Linked DNA regions of Caenorhabditis elegans. The protein of the gene in region 2 purifies or fractionates together with the protein of the main gene of each other region. This does not show direct contact. Each region holds a gene or a part of one and is shown on either strand. Other genes may lie near its edges.

Region 1 (6,363 bases), on a different chromosome or scaffold from region 2:
ATTAATAATTTCTATATGTAAACTGGAAATATTTTAAATTTTTTCTTCATTTAGAAACATACCAGAATTTTTTTATAAATACAACCTATTATTCTTACTTTCTGGGCTGTTACCTCTTCGACACCCACTCAATTTTCCTTTAGAAAAATTGCTCTTTAGTCTAATTTTGCTAGTCACCCACATGCATACACATACGTTTTTATTCATCATCTCATCGTATAATTTTAAATGAAGATTCATATGAATTATCCACAGGAAAGATGAAATCGGTGGACTCTGGAAAGGTTTGATAAAACATTGCGTGCAGTTTTGAAAGCTTGTTGTAATATTTCCGATGAATATTTTTAAAGTTCCGGTTTCAACCCTCTTCCGTATTGAGTTTAAATAATTGGTATAAGATGCAATATTATTTAAATTTTTTGCTTCACTTCATTTATTTTTGGTCAGAACCTTAATGTTTTCAAAGCTATTTCGATATATCATTCCATTTCAAAAATTTTGACGCAAAGAATAATTTGTTTCAGAAGCTGACAACCCAAAAATAAACCCACTCCCAAAAGATTTCATTAGTATTCAATGAGTAGTAAGTAAACCCTTCTTCTCTATTCAATACAGCTTTCAAAAATCTCATTTATTCTAGCACGCAAAAGTTTCCACAAGTTTTGTTCAAGATTTTTGTTCTTAGTTCTATTTTGTTCATATATAAATATTTTCGCAGTGGCTCATTCATATTCAGAGTTGCTTCTTTTTTCGGTTTTTTGGTTTTTCATTTATTCTGTTTTTATGAAAGGAATCTTTGACAAATCCATTTAGCACTGAAGTATCGAGACAGGCTACTAGAAAAAAAATTCGAGTGTCAAGGAGTTGTTCGAGCATATAAAAGCTTGAGAGGGTTCGTTCACAAATTTAATTTTCGCGAGTTTAAGAAGGAGTCTGTTCTATGTATCAACGAAAAATTGATTCCATTTTGTTCAAATGATTTTCTGAGTTTTCGTTTGCTTCAACTTTGTGTTGCCATTTCTGTTTTTAAATTGTTGTTGAATCTTTTTTTTTTTTGGAATTTTTAAAATAAAACAATGTGATGTAAAACAAAATAAAATTAATTTATAAACATTACTTCAAAATACCTCGCTTTCAGTAAACTTTTTCGAAATAAATTGAGAAAAAACTGTACATATTTAGTTTAAATTAATGATCATAATCATATCAAATACGTTTTCGATGTTACTTTTGTTGTTTGCGGTTGTAGCGGGTTGAAGACATTTAAAATAAATAAAAGCAACTTACTTCCGCAAGTGGTGACTTTGTCAAGCTTACAGAACTTAAGACTTTTTTTTTCTGAAATCTTCGGAAATATCTTTTTTTTAAGTCTTGAACCGTCATAACTTTTTTGATATATTTTTAGAACGTCTCATTACAATATTCTGAAGTATTCGGCTATTTTGGGTCTAAAAACAACGTATCAGATTTCGGTACTTCGCCTTTAAAATCTCTGAGAAACTTTGCTGAAAGTTTTAAACTGAAGTAAAATTAGTGTTACAATGTTACTTCCATTATCGAATGATTTTTCCTGTACCGATGCCTCAAAGTAGAAATTGTTTTTTCACAGAGCTTTAAAAATTTTGTTTTAAAGTTCGACCAAACAGAAAGCATTCTTGTAGAAACGCCTAACAACAGCCAGCCCACCTATTTTCCAGTTATCCGCTAAAACTTTAGTGAAATCAAGTTGTATCAATTAGTCAACTACTGTTCCAACTACTCGCCATTTCCTCTGTTGTTCCCAACAATTCACTATTTTTCAATGCCCCAAGATTTGATTTCACGCCTTCACTCAGACATCGCCGCCCCATGTGATACAACATCCGCAGACATCTGGGGAGCACCATGAAAAACTTCTCGGACCCCCCCCCCCCCCCCCCTCCCGAACTCTGCTATACATCTTTTTCTATCTTTTTTCGCAACTTTTCTTTTTTTGGACAGGGAGTGGGCGGGGGCTAGGAGTAACATTGTTCTTTACTCATTCCCATTAAGATATTTATTTGTGGTATTTACTTCTATTTCAGTTTCAAACGTTCTAAATTTTTCCGGCTTACTATTCACATATTGGTTTGTTTTTTTTCTCACGAAATATTTAATTATATGCTGAGCTACCTTGTTATTTATTTTTACTATCATCCTGATCTCGTTTCGTTATTATTTTCATAACTGATAGAATTTCTTATTTTCAGGTTTAAAATGTGGGCTCATCACTTAATAATTCCACTGGTATTAATTTCCGTTAGTCACGGTCATATTGATCGAAGTTCTTATATACTTGCTCATTATATGAACCTTCTGTCAATTGGAGAATCTTGGATTCTCACTAATTTTGATCTCGATTCGAATGGAACGTTTTTCCTGGCACAAAACTCCGAAAGACGAATAGAATTTGGGTTCAAGAATAAGACGGTGAGTTTTTTGTGTTTTGTTATTTTGTAACGTTTTTCCTTGAGCAAAAGTTGAAAAAAAAACCAAGTTTTGATGTTAACTCTGCCTTCCAATTATTATAGTGCCAACTAACCATTTGATCTTAAGACTGGTGTAGCTTCAGTTGGGATATTGTTAAAAATCATTTCAACAGTGCCAAAATGACCAAAAATAATAATAAAACCTTCAAAATATGTTTGCAACATCTTTTTTGACTACCTTCAATGAATAATAGTTAATTTGTGTTCTTACTCATTTTCTAGTTAGATAAAAATCTTAAAGATTGGAATTTAGAGAATCTTCTCCCATTCAGAAATTATTAGTTTTTACAGCTTTACATGGTGCTTCCAATAAGCAAAAGCCGAATACAGTCTAACAACTGGGAAAAGCGATATGTAATCGACTTTGATAGTATTGGAAAAATTGGACGAAATCTAGAATTGATCATAACTTTTCAAAATAATCACATTCATGTTTACAATGGTTGTGATGAAGTTTATTCTGATTTTGAGCCGCATTTGCAGCTAACGTAAGTTCAACTTTTCACAATAGTTTTAATTTTTGCATTCAGATTGAACCATCCATCGCTTCATATTGTCGATAACTGGAAAGGTCCAGAACCGACACAGTTTTTAATAGGATCTGGTTGGCCTATAGGTCAGAAGTGTAAACATGACGGTGTCAAAAAGAAATACGCGGATGCATACACCGAGAAAATAGAAAGAAATTACGAACCGGTGAGAGAAACATTCAAAGTTAATGGTTCTTGGTCATCACTTTCCCACGATCGCTGCATTTCATATATTTAATTTTCTGCATCTCTCTCTTTTTAAATACGTTTCTTTTAATTTCAATCAAATGCTAATTTATTCTACTATTTCGTCACATTCAACGTTTAGAGTGGCAAATGACGGAAAGTAGTAGGTTTTAATTGATTAAAAACCAGCATTGAACTGAGATGGACACGTGGACGAAACTAGTTTTCGTGATAATATTTGTTTTCAGAGTGCAATCGACGCTATCAATGAGATATTTTTTGAAACAGTTGTTCAAGTCCCACCAGGATTCGATGGTTGTAAGGTAAGCCTATAATTGTTTTTTTTGTAGTGTACAAGAGTTACAGTTCAGATATTTGATCGGAGCACACATAAACAGTTTTAATTTGTGATAAACTGTTTTTTAATTTGCAATTAAATTAAAACTAAAGCATAATACGTCTAAATCGATTAACTTTGATTCAGATCAATAATGCTCTTCTCAACATCAATGAAACAAAAACTGTCAATTGCAATACGTGTACTTGTGTAGATAGGTATTTCATTATTCATAATCCCAACTTCCCCAAAATTGATTTTTCAGGGATAATGTAGTTTGTCAAGCAGTGGATTGTCCAGCTGTCACCTGCACCCATCCGATGATACGAAAAGATGATTGTTGCCCGAGTTGTGGTGAACAGGTGAGAAGGCACAAACCGAAACCAAAGAGCACTTCAGTGATACGAAAGAAGATCTTTTAAAATTTTTCAGTGTTTTTACGAAAGTCACAAAATTGCAAACCCTCATGGAGAAGTTTTCTGGCCAGGAGACTGCTACAGGTGTCAATGTTGGGATAAAAAAGTTCACTGTTCATCCGAGTAAGAAAACGTTTTGTTGTGACGACATCAATTTCAAATTTAGATATGCAACATGTGAGCCTCCGAGTTGTCCGGAAGAAGATTGGGTTTACAATGAAAAATTCAATTGCTGCCCAAAATGTCGCGATTTTGCACGTTTCTGTGCAGTGAAACCGTGTCACAAATACGCTACATGCACAGATTCAAAACGTGGGCCAAAATGCTCATGCGACACGGTAAGCTGCTTCCAAATATTTTCCCAGAGGACATCTCTCGATGTGATCATCATTTCAGGGCTTCCAAGGAAATGGCACGTATTGCGAAGACATTGACGAGTGCTCCTTCTCGCAAGACGCCAAGGAACAGGTTTGTCGTTATTCCTCTGACTATTTTATCCGATAGCCAGTGGTCCCTCGAGGCTAAATAGATTTTTTCTTTTTGTCTATTCGTTTTGTGTAGAAGGTGAAAGACGAAAAAAAAAATAAGAAAAAAAGAACAAACAACTCCCAAAACAAAAAAGGATAACAATGAATAACGAGCCCTTGGAGAAATAGCTCAAATTTCGTAATCCTTATTGTTAATATTTTAAATTTTTGGGGAGTGAGAATTGTTATATGTATATACGAATTATCATAAAATTGAATGTTTGGTATCAATCTGATATAATTTTAGACGCACTTTTCCAATCATTGCTATTGCGTTTATGTTATCATCAAATTCAAAAAGTGAAAAAGCCAAATACATCAATGTTATATATGTTTTTAACCATCGTGCTTTTGTTTTGACTGAAATCAATTGAAAAATATAAACAAAGTAGTGGCCCTATTTCAGTGTTTTGTCTTGGAAAAAGCAAGTGTGGAAATAAATTGCTAGAACACTCACTAATTTTGATGAAATAATGAAGTAAATTTTTACAGCTTGGCGGCTGTCTCTCAGGTTCAACCTGTCGAAACGTACCAGGAAGTTACAAATGCGACTGTCTGCCTGGTTATCAAATGATCGGAGAAAATACATGTCTCCTATTAATCCGTGTGTAGTTAATCTTTTCATTCATCGGCTGAGAAGATTGCCCGTGTAGTGTATCTTGTTCGAATATCACCCTATCCTCTGATAGTGGCGCCAAATACGTGTAACTTATCTGTAGAAAAAATCTGCCTTTTTTCAAATTTGTTATGTTTTTTCTTCATTATAATGTAATTACATTATGAGAGAATATTGGAGTTCCTGGTTTTCCGTTTGGTTTGCATTGTTTTTTGTCACTTCATTGTTGTTTTTAATTGTAGATCACTTCGTTTTGGGCACATTTTGATAAGGATAAATTAATCCAAGCCAGAAATTTGAAACTTAAAGTTTCTGATCGTTTGTTCTCTCAATCTTGATTTAGATAAATGTAGCCATACTTTTTCCGTGACTTCAACTTCAATAATCCAATTTCGCTCTTAATTTAATTGCAAACTTTTTTCATTTCATGTGTAGCATGTAGAGTGCCAAAACACTTACCAAATCTCGGGGAAACATTTTTAATTCACTAATAAACGTGACATTGTCAAGAAAATTAAATTTATCTTTGAATACAATGTAAAAATAAAGATTGAAGATTTTTAAAAAAGCATTAAAATGACAATACCAAAAACTACCACGCATCTAAAATACAACTGGGTGACGGATGAAAGTGCAGACAGGAAAAGAAAACATAAAATGAGTAGAGTGAGCTTGATTGAATTAGTAAAATGAAAGCAAAAGTTGACATCGGAAAGTTTTTCATATTTGGAAGACACATTGTGAAAGAAGTAGTAATTTTTGAAAGAAATTAAGGCATCAAGAGGTATCTTGAAATTTGAAATTGCATAGTCTTTAAATATCAGTATAAAAGGCAAATATTGTACATGTTTTGATATAATGAATTAAATAAATTCTTGTGAATGATTTAAAAATGACATAAAGCACTAAAATATGATTGAATCGAATTTTCAAAAAGTTTAGGATTTTGGTCCTATTAATAAAAGTTTGAAATTAGATATCATCAAAATCTTCAATATCTTCGGCGTTGGCAATTGGTGGAGCTGCACGGAGCATATCCGCAACGTCAATTTCTTCATCATCTGAAACAGTTGGCAACCTCTCCGTCACTTTGATTCCTAATCTCGCCTTGTTCTTATTTTTCATTTCTTCAAGGATCTTCTTGCGTGGTTTTGCCATGAACAGTTCCAAATCTTCTTCTTCTCCAAGAGAGTATTCATCCGAAGATGCCTGCAATCAACAGAAAATGATGTTAAATTGTAAAG
Region 2 (4,403 bases):
TCAACTGGAAACCCTTCAACAACCACAACAATCTCATCAATACCAGAATCCCATATAAATCCAATGTTCGCAAATCATGAGAAATGCTCAATTTCGAGAAGCTTCACACATCTACCGTACCCGCCGAAGAAGAAGAGGAAAAGTCACTTGAGACGCGTTTTTTCGTGCTTTTCGATTTTTAAACATTAGGATCTATTTTATTGTGTGTTTAATAGGTACTGGTGAAGTTTTGAATTTGCGCGTAAGATATGGTGCATCGTGACTGGTGCCAATGACGGCTGTCATAATTAATTCATCCCAGTGGCCGAGTAGTCAGAATGTCCCATTTCGGTTTGATCTACGAAGATCTACAAAAAATGCGGGAGTAGAGTTCTCAACTGATTTTGCATGATTAGAGGACGTGCTGCCGTCATGCAAAAATTCCCGCATTTTTTGTAGGTCAAACCGTAATGGGGCAGTCTGACACCAGTATTGCACCGAAAACTATCAAAGACACAATAATTCTGCTAATATTATTATGTTTCGATTATTTTTCAATTTGTTAAAAATTCCCTTTACTGGTTTTCCTGGCTTCTGTCATATTTTGGTTCCCCAATTCCCCTTCCTATCACGCATAATTTTATTAATTTTTTATTACATAATCTAGTCTTACCATGAATTCTCTGCTGACCAACGCAAAATCCAAACAAGTTTTTGCATAATTTTTGAATAAAATGATGATTTTTGTCTCGATAGAATTTTATTAGTATTTCTTATTTGCAGTGTAAAAAGGCACAATTAAATGATTGAATTCAATTCAATATTGAACAAAGTAAAGCATTATTTAGGCAGCACCATGAGTAGGTCAAAAAATTTTTTGGGTTGAAATGGCAATTTTAGGCTTGTTGAATTCCTTTTCTCGATACTTTCTTCTCCTTATTTCTTTTTGGTGGAACTGGAGTTGACGATGGTTCCTGACGACCGAAGAAATATCGATAGTCGTCAGTTCTGATGTGAGCCCAGACTCCGGCGGCTCCGTTGGCCTCGAATTGCTCCTAAAATCACAGAAAATTTTTAAATAAAAAATAAATAAAATATATATGTACCTCAATTCTCGGAATAAATGGATTGTGCTCCAATCTGAGCACCTGCTTTGACCCGACCAACTCCAAATTTCCGAGCTCTGGTGGAATCATAGCCAGACGATTTCCCTGAATATGAAGCTCACGGAGACGTGTCAGCTTTCCCAGCTCTTTTGGAAGAGTGAGCAAATCGTTTTCACGGAGCACGAGGATTTGCAAATTTGTAAGATTTTCGACGTCTCCGGGGAGCATTTCGAAATCATTGTCTCCGAGGTACAAGGCGCGGAGGGTTTCTGGAAATTGGGAGAGGTTTTTTCGGAGAAGGGAACACCGGATGCCCCAGATTCAGCTTTTTTAACTGATGTAGTGTACAACATCACATTTTTCTGGGCGAAACGTTCCCGCATTTATTGTAGATCAAACTTATTCCAGTCCTAACAAGAATTTAAAATTCCAATTTTTCCCCCACTTACGCATAAAGAAAAAGTTTCCAGGCAATGATCGTTCACTCAAATTGTTGTAGGTCAAATCAAGAATTTCCAGCTCTGGGAAGGATCCGAATCCACGTGGCAGAATCGACAGCTTGTTCATTCCGACGTTAAGAATTCGAAGTTTTGGAAGAGATGAAATCGATGGAGGTAGATCCTCGATTTGGTTATTCCACAAATTCAGGGACTGCAATTTTTTAAAGATTGGATTAAGAAGATTACCTTGATGTAGGGTTGGCTTACCTGAAGACTGACCAAATCCGCAATATTTGGTGGTACTGAAGTGAGCTTGTTGTGGCTCAAAGTGAGACGAGTGATGATTTCCGCATCGACTGGAATTCAATTTTTGGAAGATTTCGAAAATTTATCCCGCTTAGGCTTAAGTCTGAGCCTAAGCGTAAGCCTAAGCCTAAGCGTAAGCCTAAGCCTAACATAAGCCTAAGATTGAGCCTAAGCCTAAGCCAAATCCTGAGCCAGCGCCTGCGCCTGCGCCTACGCCTAAACCTAAGTTTAACCCTCAGCCTGAGCCTAAGCCTAGGACTAAGCCTAAGATTGAGCCTAAGCTTAAGCCCAAGCCTGAACCTAAGCCTCAGCCTAAGAAGCAACACATTTATTTTGATCTACAGACCCAATGCACCGTATTTGACGCGCAAATTCTATTTACGATTTTCCCGCGGAGGAGCTGAGCACAGAGCAACAGCTGCTGCTCCGCCAGATCAATTTCTAATGCATACGAAACCATGGAATAATTGAAGATTTGCGCGTCAAATGTGGCGCAGAGCTCAAAAAAATGCTTACTGAGATGTGAAATTTGAGAAAACGACGAAATATTCCGATCGACATGCTCAACCTCTGTCACTTCGTCTTTCTTCTTGTCCTTTGGCATTTTTACCTGAAATTTTAATTTTTTACATCCTTTTTTTGTGGATAGGAAATGGTGCTTCGCGAGTTGATAAACGATAAAATCAGTGTTAAATATGACTATTTTCATACTTTGACATGGTGCATCGACACAAAAATTTGAAGAAATAGCAATTCCAAAGATCTTTTTCACTTTCTCACTTTCTAATCCTCTATTAAATATAATTGCGGAAGAACTAGCAAAAAAATGGGAAAAAAAGGAAACACAGCTGGAATACCATTCAAGGGGATTCCAACGAGATAGTACATGAACCTGTAAAGACACAGAGACATATATTTGTTGAGAGAGGGGACGAAAGACGAAAGAAAAAGAAGAAATGACAGCGAATCGTAGGCGGAATGGACGTGTGTGGGGTGAGATGGGGGGAAAAGGAAAGTGTGTACAGCGAGAGAGTATTACACTGTTGGAGAGACGCAGGGTGCTGGAGACATTTCAGTTTGCCAAGAGAACGATGAGAAGCAGTGAAAAGTTCATTGAGCGATGGGCGGAAGGAGGATCCTCCTTGAGGAGAAGGTTACATTTTTATTGATTGATTTTTTTCGGGCCCATATTGCGATCAATTCTATTTTTTGAAAGGTTTGGGTTTTGTGTGTTTTTTCTAGATTTTCCTATTTTTTAAAGATTTTAAATTTCTAAATTTTAATCTTCGGCATCAAAAAATTTTAGATATTAGATTTACACAAATTTTTTTTTCCTTTTTTCTTATTTTTAATCTAAAAAAACAAATTTTTTCTTCAAAATGTTCGTCTTTTGGTACACCTCTAAAGGGGCACAAGTAAAATCTAAGTGATGGGTCTCGCAACGAACTACTACTAATTTTAAGTTCTTGAGGCGCGCCTTTAAGGTTACTGAAGGCAGCATTTATTGATTTTTAATTATTTTTAATCATTTTGTCTTAAGATGGCAAAAAGCGATAAGAAAAAATTCAGTAGAAAGAGAGAAAAAGGTAAACATTTCGATTGTCTCGTCGTCTTTTTTTTTTGCTTCATTTTCTCTCTTTTTTCACTTTTTAGTTTAAAAAAGCAAAAAAAAAAATTAATTTCCTTCCGTTCAGTGCCCATAAATCCGTTTATGAAACGTCATCAATATCTCTAAGCCCTCTTTTCTCTCTCACAGTATTCCAAATAAACAAAAAAAGATGTCTCTTCCTCCCTGCCAACCAACAGCCAACGTCAGTTTTTAAAATGAAATTTTTTTTTTCTAAAAATTGGCCAAAAAACCGATTTTTAGACTGAAAAAAGGCTTTAATGTCCAAAAATAATCAAAATTATCGATTTTCGACACGCTCGTAAATTAATTAGTCTTGTCAGTTGTCGTCAATTATAATGAATTACATCCCCGAGAAAAAGTAGATCAAAGACCGGTTTATCCCTCCCGACAGATACGGAATGTGTGTCCGCTTCCGATCAAAAGGTTCTCTTTTTCTTATTTTGTAGTCTGTGTGGAGGATACACTTGGTGATTAATTATTATTTATCGGCCTAAAAAATGGTTTTATATTTTTATAATACCCAGACGTGAAATTTTGCGATTTTTGCGCCCCGGGGCTCGACACGACAATTTTCTTATTAATTGCAAAAAAGGTGTACGCCTTTAAAGAGAATTTTCAACAATTTTAATTTTTTTTTTAAATAAAAATATATTTATTTAATGAAATCGAATAAATTTTTAACAATTCGTGACAAAAACTACAAAAAAATCTATGAAAATTCCGTAACTACAACAAAAGTTCAAAATTACAGTACTCTTTAAAGGCACACATTTAAAGTCACATGTATTTGAGAGAAATGTGTCGTGTCGAGACCCTGGTACCGGTACCGTAATCGCAAAATTGGGTAATAATGCTCAAAAATTTTTCAACTCTTCAGCAACATTTTTTGGTAATTTTTTAGAGAAAAAACACAATTTAGGCTAAAATCCGGAAACAACAAAA
Region 3 (8,333 bases), on a different chromosome or scaffold from region 2:
AGAACGTGAAGACGGTGAATATGCATGTATGAGGGGCTCCGTACTTTTGTTTTTAAACTTTAATAAAACATTTCTTATATTTTGGGGTAAATTAAAATTAGACGATTAAAAAACGGCAAAAAATTATTAATCAGTCAGTATGTTCAAATTTTCAACGGCATCTGATGACGTTTTCATACCCAAACTCATGTGTTTTTGCTGAGCTATCAGGAATTCGAAAAGTAAGTTTGCGCTTCTGAAGAATAATTGATAATTAGTTTTACACTTAAACCCATATAAACTTTAAAAATACAAGTGAAACTATTTCAGTATGATTTTTTTCAGATCATGTCAAACTGCGCTGCTCCTGTCACCGCAATATAAAAGATTGACAAAAATGCGGATACTGCCTTCTCTATACTAATAAAACTTCCGTTTATCAAAACAACAGTTTATTTAGAAAAAATTAAAGCTCGAAATAAAAAAACAATCCATGAGCTAACAATCCCACGTTTTGTAAAACATGGCAGTCAGTTTGAAAAAAAAGTTCAACAATAAACAGGAGATCAGATAAATTGAGGAAATAGTTTAAAATTTGGGTTTTCACAGTTTTGGAAGTGTATCGAAAGAGGGACACAAATGAACTAATTGAGAAGATTGAGATAAGTGAACGAGACCTTTTGAGCTTTCGCCAAAAATTGAAACGGGGAAATGTTTGGGGTGAGGGAGAGAGGCACATCAAGTGGAACAGGTTTGTGAAATAAAATATGCAATGATTAAAACGTCCTAACTAGAACTTTCTAGGCAGTGAAACTCATCTTATTGTTGTTAGCTGCGGGTATATATTTCATGTTGTCGTAGATTGAGTACAAGTCGGTGAACGAGAACTGCTGAAGAGCTATGAAGCCTTCGATTCCTTGCCTGAAAAATCACATTTTCTTTTCGAACCACTATAATTCTGAGTGAGGTTCCGCAAGTACTTGTGTATTTTTTAAAAGTAACTTTTCAAAAATATACAGAATCACGTGTTGAATGTTTTTGTATTTTTAGGCATAAAAAATAACCATTTCTAAGCCCAAAACGTTCAAAAATTTTGAAAACTTACGATTTAGCACAGTATACACAGAAGACTGTAAACTTTCCGCCAATATCCTTCACGAACAAAATACAAAACACTTCACACTCGCACGTCATACAGAAATGGGATTGTTCTCCACTTGTTCGAGTATGAGCTTTTATGGTTTTCTTCTGAGACACGATATAATCGGCAACCATTCTCAGGAATGCAAGTGATCTGAAATAAAGTTATTACAAACTTGATTGTTCTTCTTAGGCTACTCACCTAATCAATACACCTTTGCAAGTATTGTAGATGAGCTGGTTGGTAAACTTGACATTCTTTGCTACTTGCCAGCACATTAATTGCATTGGAACTTCACTCTTAAATCGGCGCAGCTTGTTGTATTCGTAGCTGAGCAAAGAGATGCTCAACTGTTGAAAGTTGAGTGGCGCCACATTCCAAGAAATGTTGTTGCACCATCCCGAAGCTTGTACCCAATGAATGGCTCCGCCACTCACATATACCATGTCTCCAGCCTTCTGTGTGAAACGGTGCACTGGAATTCCTGCATCTAATAAGTCATCGATAATAGGCCAAAATGTTCCAGTCAAAAGATCAACGCCATTCTTCTCGCACAACTTATGCATCTTTCCCCAATACTCGTATGGAACGGCAAACCATTCACAGTCACCGGGACCAATGTTTATGTTGATGGAAGCCATGTGATTGCTATCCTGATGAGCTGGTGTTCTGCAGCCAGGAACTTTCATGAAAAGCTTAACAGTATTCATGCCGTGAACTTGGTGCCCCAAGTGGGAGAGCATGTTTGAGCCGGCGATGAGGCGACAAAAAGCAGGAAGTTTAGAAAGTTCCTGAAAAACGGCAGTTGTGTTTGGTTTTAAAATATGGAGCAATAAAAAAACTTACGTTGATCTGTTTTCCCCATTTAGTGTCATCAGATAAATCAATATTAGTTCCATATTTAATAGACTTCAGATGTTTCGGTGGAGAGCTGGCTCGCTTATACAATTTCATTCTTTTAGGAGAAGGTCCACGTGTTCCTCCCACATTTTTCTTGATTTTCTCAGCTTCACCCTTTAGCGTGTGCTTGAACGATTCCGATTGATACTCGGCATACTTGTTGACTGTTGTGTACGAGGGATCACTGACACATTGCCATGTCTGTTGACTTGCATGATCACAGTTCGTTTCTGGTGGTAGTTGATACTGAGTTCGGATTTCAATTTCTTGGTTTCCGTCAATTTCTGCCACTGCTTTCGTGGAGAATAGCGACAAATCGAGGCGAAGGCAACCAGTAAGTCCACGAATACAAGAAATAGTAGACCCATCCAAAAACCGTTGTAATTCCAGACTTTGAGCTTCCTTCCTATTGTCCACCGTAAGAATTGGGGTTTTAAGAATTAATGGATGCTTTTCACTCCTTTCTAGCGCCGTGCGTACATCTTCATCTGTTACAATTGGCTTTACGGGACCTCGTGGTGGCTCGGGTAACTTCGCAAATTCTTCAAACACTGGTAGGTATGTGGAGTTTGGCTGAGTTCTTCTATGAACCATTTGCATAATTTCCTGAGCGCTGATATCCATTGAAACATAGAGCTCCGAGAGCAAACTGAAACTATCCGGAAGGTCATTAAACGAAATTTTCGGTAAGAATGGGAAGCTGTAGCATCTCGGCGATTCAAGTAGATGCCCATGGTCGCGAAGGTTTTGGATCATTTCCTCGGTGACACGTGGCATTTCACGAACGGCTTCCGGAATTACGTATTCAATAACTTTTGCCTGAAAAATTTAATGTTTTTCAATAAACCATTTAATAATCCCTATGGTTTTCAAATGTTTCAGATTACAGAAAAAGTGAGTCACAACTTTAACTTTCAGTTCTGATCACGCTTCAGTTATTCAGAATATATTTTACATGCGACAATAGAACATAGAAAAGCTTTATAATTAGGCTCATTGCGTCTACTCAAGAGATTTGTGCAACAGATACGCTATGAAATTCTCTCGTTTTTTTCCTTTTTTAATGTTAGAAGCAACACTGGCGGCCGCCCTGGCAGCAACTGCATCATCACTTCCCTTGATGTACTGGCATAAATGTATAGCTATCATACACTAATGAAAAGAGTATGACTTCTAAGCCGTGTTTGGCCTTTTTTGCTCGCATTTTTCACTGGCCTGTGTTTGTCAGCTATTTGAGCTCTTATTACCTTAAACACTGCCTCGCTGGTTTCCAAACACTCAAGAACTTCTCTCTCAGCTTTTACTAAAGCTGGTTCGTTGGCACGAAGCAACTGCATAACCTGGATTTCGAGATCTTCCATTGGCCTTGGATACGTTACATCCCATTCCATATCTTCCGGCTTTTCATGCTCCATTGTTCTGAAATCTTCCCAAAGATCCCAAAACGCGTTGTCATACTGAGCTTCTCTGTCCTAAAAATTGTGGTTTCAAAAAAACGCACATGACAACAATCACTTACAGCATAGGCAGCGTCTTGACGATTACGAAGCTCTAGAGGTATTGGCTGCTCATAAGCTTCTTTCAATGAAGGTATCACGGTTTCAAATGTTGATGACGAGGCGTGATTTGAGGGACGTGCGGGCACAGGCATCGAGAGTTCTTTTTCAAGAAATTGTACACGAGCTTTGATTGGTTCCGGAGCAACTGAAATGTCATGATAACATTAGTTTGTTCTTTAAAAAATCTGAAATCGTTAATTACTACTACTCACTCAAAACAGCCTCTAGCTTTACATTTAACCTACATTTACAAGCTCACCTTCCTAAAACTTGAAAAACTCAAAACTGCAATGAAATATATTGTTTCTCTTTTTAATGGATACTGCGTTTCATTTGTCACGTCTTCTATTTTATTAAACATTTTCAACTTGGAAACACTTACAGTGTGTATTGCTAATTTCAAAATGAATGTTGTTTGTTATCAGAGCTTTCTTAGAAAAGACCATTACAATTGAAACAACTTGGTTTTTTTCTTAAACATTTTTCAGTCGTTGTCATAAATGTTGTCATACTTCCTTTAAATATATTTTCCAATCACGTGGAAATTTTATCTGGTGACTAGAGATTAAGCAGATTAGTTGTGCTTCTGTTATATCCTTTCATTTCTCTTATATTTTCGTTTAAGTTTACATTCAATGTTTGGCGATAGCAAATTTAGCGACACCCATTCTACTATAGACAGGCAAGTATCATTGGCTGATAAGAAATGAAGAAAATCATATTGAAACTGATTCATTCACAACATTTTTTGATAGAAATTTCAATTTGGTTTTTCCAGAAAAGTTATAATTTATTTATATTCTTCTACTTTTTCTTTCAGGAAACCATCAACATACCTGGATTGTTCAGCATTGCATTTTTGAAACACTCCAGCGCATCTTGGTACTGGGCATTTTTCTCATAAAGCTCTCCGAGATCTGTCCATGCCGCAGAATGTGTTGAATTCAGCTCAATTGCACATATGAATGCCTAAAACGTGTTCAATATATTAAAAATTGGAGGCATTTATTGGAAAGATTGGGGTGGGCATACGCCATTGTTTTGAGAATTGCTCTGATCTTGCACACTGTGCACATTGTTTCCAAAAACTCTAATTTTGATTCCTGAACATACCTGAAGAGCATCAATGGGTTGATTTTGTCGCTGATACAGAGCTCCAATTGAGCACCACGTGTCCGCATTCTGCTCTTTTTTGTCAATCGAAAACCGGTAGTTGACAAACGCATCGTGTGCCTTAAATTCAGGAAGAATTAAATTATTTTCCTAACGTTTTTTTTTGAAAATTAGAGGTTAATAGAAATAAAACAAGTTATTTTTTAAGATTGTTAAGGAACAAAATGAACACAAACCACTTGTCCACTAACACTAGGCTCGTGTTCCCCGTAGACTCGTCCCAGATAGTAGTAGCTTTGTCCATCTCGTGGATCTGTATCATGTGCACTAATGAGATTCTCTTGGGCCTTCTTCAAATGATCCAGACGATTTGCATCGTCTTTATAAGAGCGGCGATATGAAATCCAGCCAATTTGTCGCAAACATGCTGCTTTCACACTTATCAATAAGTCAACTTGTTGTTGATCCACATTCGACTTGCTTTGTAAGAAACTGATGTGTTGTGTTAACTGAAATTATTCGATTTTTTTTTGTTTTTAACATTGTTTGGTGATACTACTCACTTCAGTTATTAGGTTTTCATATTCTGATTCTGCAATTTCAAGCTCATCATTATTCTCGTGGCTCAGAGCAATGTTGTACTTAATTGTGAATTTCGGCATAAATACTGACTCATCACTGTCGTTGACGGCAAGTTTGAACAGCTGTAAAATATAATAAGTTTATTAAATAACTGAAAAGATTTTACGAAATTTTACGCATTGTAAAGTTTCTGGAGTATAGCTTTTTATTGCAAAAGCATGCGTATTCTCGGTCTTTTGATCTAGCTTTGTAGAGTATCTAGCTAATTTTCCACAACTAGTTGTGGGAAAACTGCCAGTTTGCTCGAGAAAGCTGATGGTAAGACTTACCAAAAGTTTAATTAAGAAAGATTGTAGAAACACTACAAATTTTAATAACGCATTGAATGCAATTAAAACTTGTTTTTTTTATGTCTCAACTTATAACTTTTTCAGATCGTTTTCTTAATACTTACATTTATGCATCTGTTGTAATCTTCAAGTTCCATGTAACACACTCCAAGACGAACTTTTGCTTGCAATGCGATCATACCGGTTGGAAAACTATATAGCAGTCTTGTGAATGCCTCGATTGCACTAGAAGATTTTGTTTCAGATTATTCACAACAAAAAAACAAAAACTCACGGTTTCCACTGTTTGAAATGCAAGTAGACAAGACCTAACCCGAAGTACATCGAAGGATCATGTGAGAATAGGTCAGGATGATGGCTCAACACTTCTTGATAAAGCTCCAGTGCTCCGGTCCAATCATTTGCCAAAAGAACAACGTGACACTGTTTCGCCAATCCGTAGAAAATGCGCCGTTCGATTGTCTTGTACTTGTGCGTTTTATAAATGCTCTTCATCTCATCCACATATCTGACAAGGTATTGGCGGGCTTTTGCAAAGAACAATCTGACTTGATAAGTGAGATCGGCTGGGTTTTGAACGTGAAACTCGTCGAATGATAAACTGAAAATTAAAAAAATATTTACTTTATTGCAATCTTGTGACAATTTTTCAACCTGCTTAATGTGCGAATCCTTTCCAGTTCATAATTTGTCAGAAGGGGCAGTTCCAGCCATTTTTTAAAGTTTCCAGGCTGAAAAATGAGAAAATTTAACTTTTGCGCACTAAAAACAAGTAATCCTTACATGACGCTCCTCCGGCAGAGGTTCTGATTCGTCCATTGGCGGTGTGAGAAGCGATACGGTGTTCATGCACAAGACTTTTTGGGAATTATACAAATCTGGAAAAACTGCAGCGATTTAGTAATAATAAAATACATACACATAAGAGAATTGTAGGAAACATAACTTGGAGAAATCTTAATCAAGTTTTGACAAAGAAAATAAGCACAAAAAATCAATTAGAGCACTGTGAACTGGTCAATACTGTGTCTTAATTCAAATAGTATGGTTTATTAAACAAAGATCAACGTTAGAAACGGAGTATCGTTGCCATTGCCGTGCGTTCGCAGCCCGTCTCTACTGTGCCTGTTTGGCGAATGGTGGAGGGGGAAATGGAGAGGTAGTGCTCGGTATACGGACGCGCAGACGGTTAGAAACGCTTGGGCGGACAAGGAGTGGGTCGATGGTGTGCGCAAGTATGGATTGGGGTCGTCAGGGGGCAATTTGTGGAAAGGGTGAATATATGCAGATTTCGCAATACCGCACAAAGTGGAACTGAATCTCATTCAGAAATTTGTAAAATCGAGAGAACATGAGTTATGAAAAATTCCATGCTAAGAATATTGTCAAGCTACTCTGCTTTATTCTTCAAAAATATGTAAATAAAAAACTAACACAAATCTTGAACAATATTGCCAATAGTAATAGAACTTTGGTATCTTTATAGTTTTTTGAAATGTCTTTTTCACATTAAGTTTTTGATCCACTTTGTTTGAGAGCAACCAGTACATTATTGTGGATCTTGTTGTAGAAGTTATTACTTTAAAACCTGAGCTTTTTGAGATTAACAACAGGAAGACCGCTGGAAAAAAAAGTTACAATCCAAGATTTTGGACAACACAAACTGAGTTCTTGTTTAATTTCAAGAAAATTTATTTACATCTAGGAAAACAGTAAAGAAAAAGAGATCTCGGAAATACGCAAGAGAGAAGAGCAAAGTAAGAAAACTGATGGAAAACTTCAAATATCTCCAAGCACTTGATTCTAACCGGAATGTACAAAAAGTTTAACAAAAAAGGAAATGAAAGAGGGAAAAAGGGAGATAGAGAGCATTTAAAATCTTTTCACAACCAAATTATACAAGTGAAGTATCTCATGTAAAACTGAAAGAAAATGAAAAAGAGTAGATTGTGAATGGGGGAATGGGCGGGGATGAAATTTAAATTTAGGTTTCTGATTCACATTTACAAGTATTTTGTTTTTTATTGATAGATTTGTTATGCCATAGAAAAGTTTTGATTCTCAAGTTTGAAAAATCCGGGGAGCAGGGCAAGTTTTTCAGGTCCGATGAAGATAAAATCCGAATTTGTATTTTCACCAGTTTGGATCGCCGTTAGAGGAAAAGAATTCCAGAAGATTATGACACCGTTTCGAGATGCTTGGCTTGTGATGAATAACATTGTAGTCAGTGGAGCCGGAGTGAGAATGGGCATGACCAGCTCGGCGAGCTTTGATACGATCGTTGGTCGTCACTCCTTGCGAGATCTATAATAATTATTGTATTTAATTTTTTGTAACAAGAATGAATAATTTCTAAAATTGAATTACCGAATGTTCTCTATTAGTAATGTGGCTGTTGCTATCAATAACGCATTTAAATGTGTCCACGAAAATTTGTGTTCAAGTCTCTAGCAATCCTAATTTTGTTGGAAATGCCAATTTCAAAGATTTTCATTATTTGCAGTTCAATTGTCTTCTATGTATAATAAAACTCCTAACAACCAATTAACAAAAAAAACGTCAATAATTAATTTATTTTTAACAACTTTTTTTAAATCGTCACCTAACACAATAGCTGTTTCATTTGAAAATAGGTAATCTCGAACTAAATTTAAACTATCAAAAATAGTATTGCATACAATACTAATAGGAAAAATATTTGCCTGATTC

What was found.
Region 1: the proteins of rsu-1 (region 2) and F19C6.3 fractionate together in Caenorhabditis elegans (co-fractionation; one large-scale study listed by BioGRID). This does not show direct contact.
Region 3: the proteins of rsu-1 (region 2) and utx-1 fractionate together in Caenorhabditis elegans (co-fractionation; one large-scale study listed by BioGRID). This does not show direct contact.

The regions. Positions count from the first base shown.
Region 1 is NC_003284.9:10,004,628-10,010,990, reverse strand, and holds F19C6.3 (VWFC domain-containing protein), read left to right. Parts: upstream 1-2,226; 5' UTR 2,227-2,235; coding exon 2,236-2,448; intron 2,449-2,798; coding exon 2,799-2,995; intron 2,996-3,037; coding exon 3,038-3,203; intron 3,204-3,471; coding exon 3,472-3,546; intron 3,547-3,707; coding exon 3,708-3,778; intron 3,779-3,825; coding exon 3,826-3,922; intron 3,923-3,992; coding exon 3,993-4,099; intron 4,100-4,142; coding exon 4,143-4,314; intron 4,315-4,372; coding exon 4,373-4,444; intron 4,445-4,995; coding exon 4,996-5,115; 3' UTR 5,116-5,687; downstream 5,688-6,363. Other genes in the region: F19C6.2 (uncharacterized protein), read right to left, coding at 6,092-6,328.
Region 2 is NC_003281.10:3,470,041-3,474,443, reverse strand, and holds rsu-1 (Ras suppressor protein 1), read right to left. Parts: upstream 2,442-4,403; 5' UTR 2,436-2,441; coding exon 2,348-2,435; intron 1,882-2,347; coding exon 1,793-1,881; intron 1,737-1,792; coding exon 1,535-1,736; intron 1,355-1,534; coding exon 1,086-1,354; intron 1,035-1,085; coding exon 876-1,034; 3' UTR 725-875; downstream 1-724. Other genes in the region: C34C12.9 (uncharacterized protein), read left to right, coding at 1-189.
Region 3 is NC_003284.9:8,555,320-8,563,652, reverse strand, and holds utx-1 (JmjC domain-containing protein), read right to left. Parts: upstream 6,503-8,333; 5' UTR 6,474-6,502; coding exon 6,408-6,473; intron 6,356-6,407; coding exon 6,279-6,355; intron 6,226-6,278; coding exon 5,899-6,225; intron 5,850-5,898; coding exon 5,729-5,849; intron 5,397-5,728; coding exon 5,256-5,396; intron 5,202-5,255; coding exon 4,929-5,201; intron 4,813-4,928; coding exon 4,693-4,812; intron 4,549-4,692; coding exon 4,416-4,548; intron 3,725-4,415; coding exon 3,540-3,724; intron 3,493-3,539; coding exon 3,268-3,492; intron 2,840-3,267; coding exon 1,967-2,839; intron 1,912-1,966; coding exon 1,322-1,911; intron 1,274-1,321; coding exon 1,085-1,273; intron 901-1,084; coding exon 780-900; 3' UTR 418-779; downstream 1-417. Other genes in the region: dhhc-14 (Palmitoyltransferase), read right to left, coding at 7,758-7,928.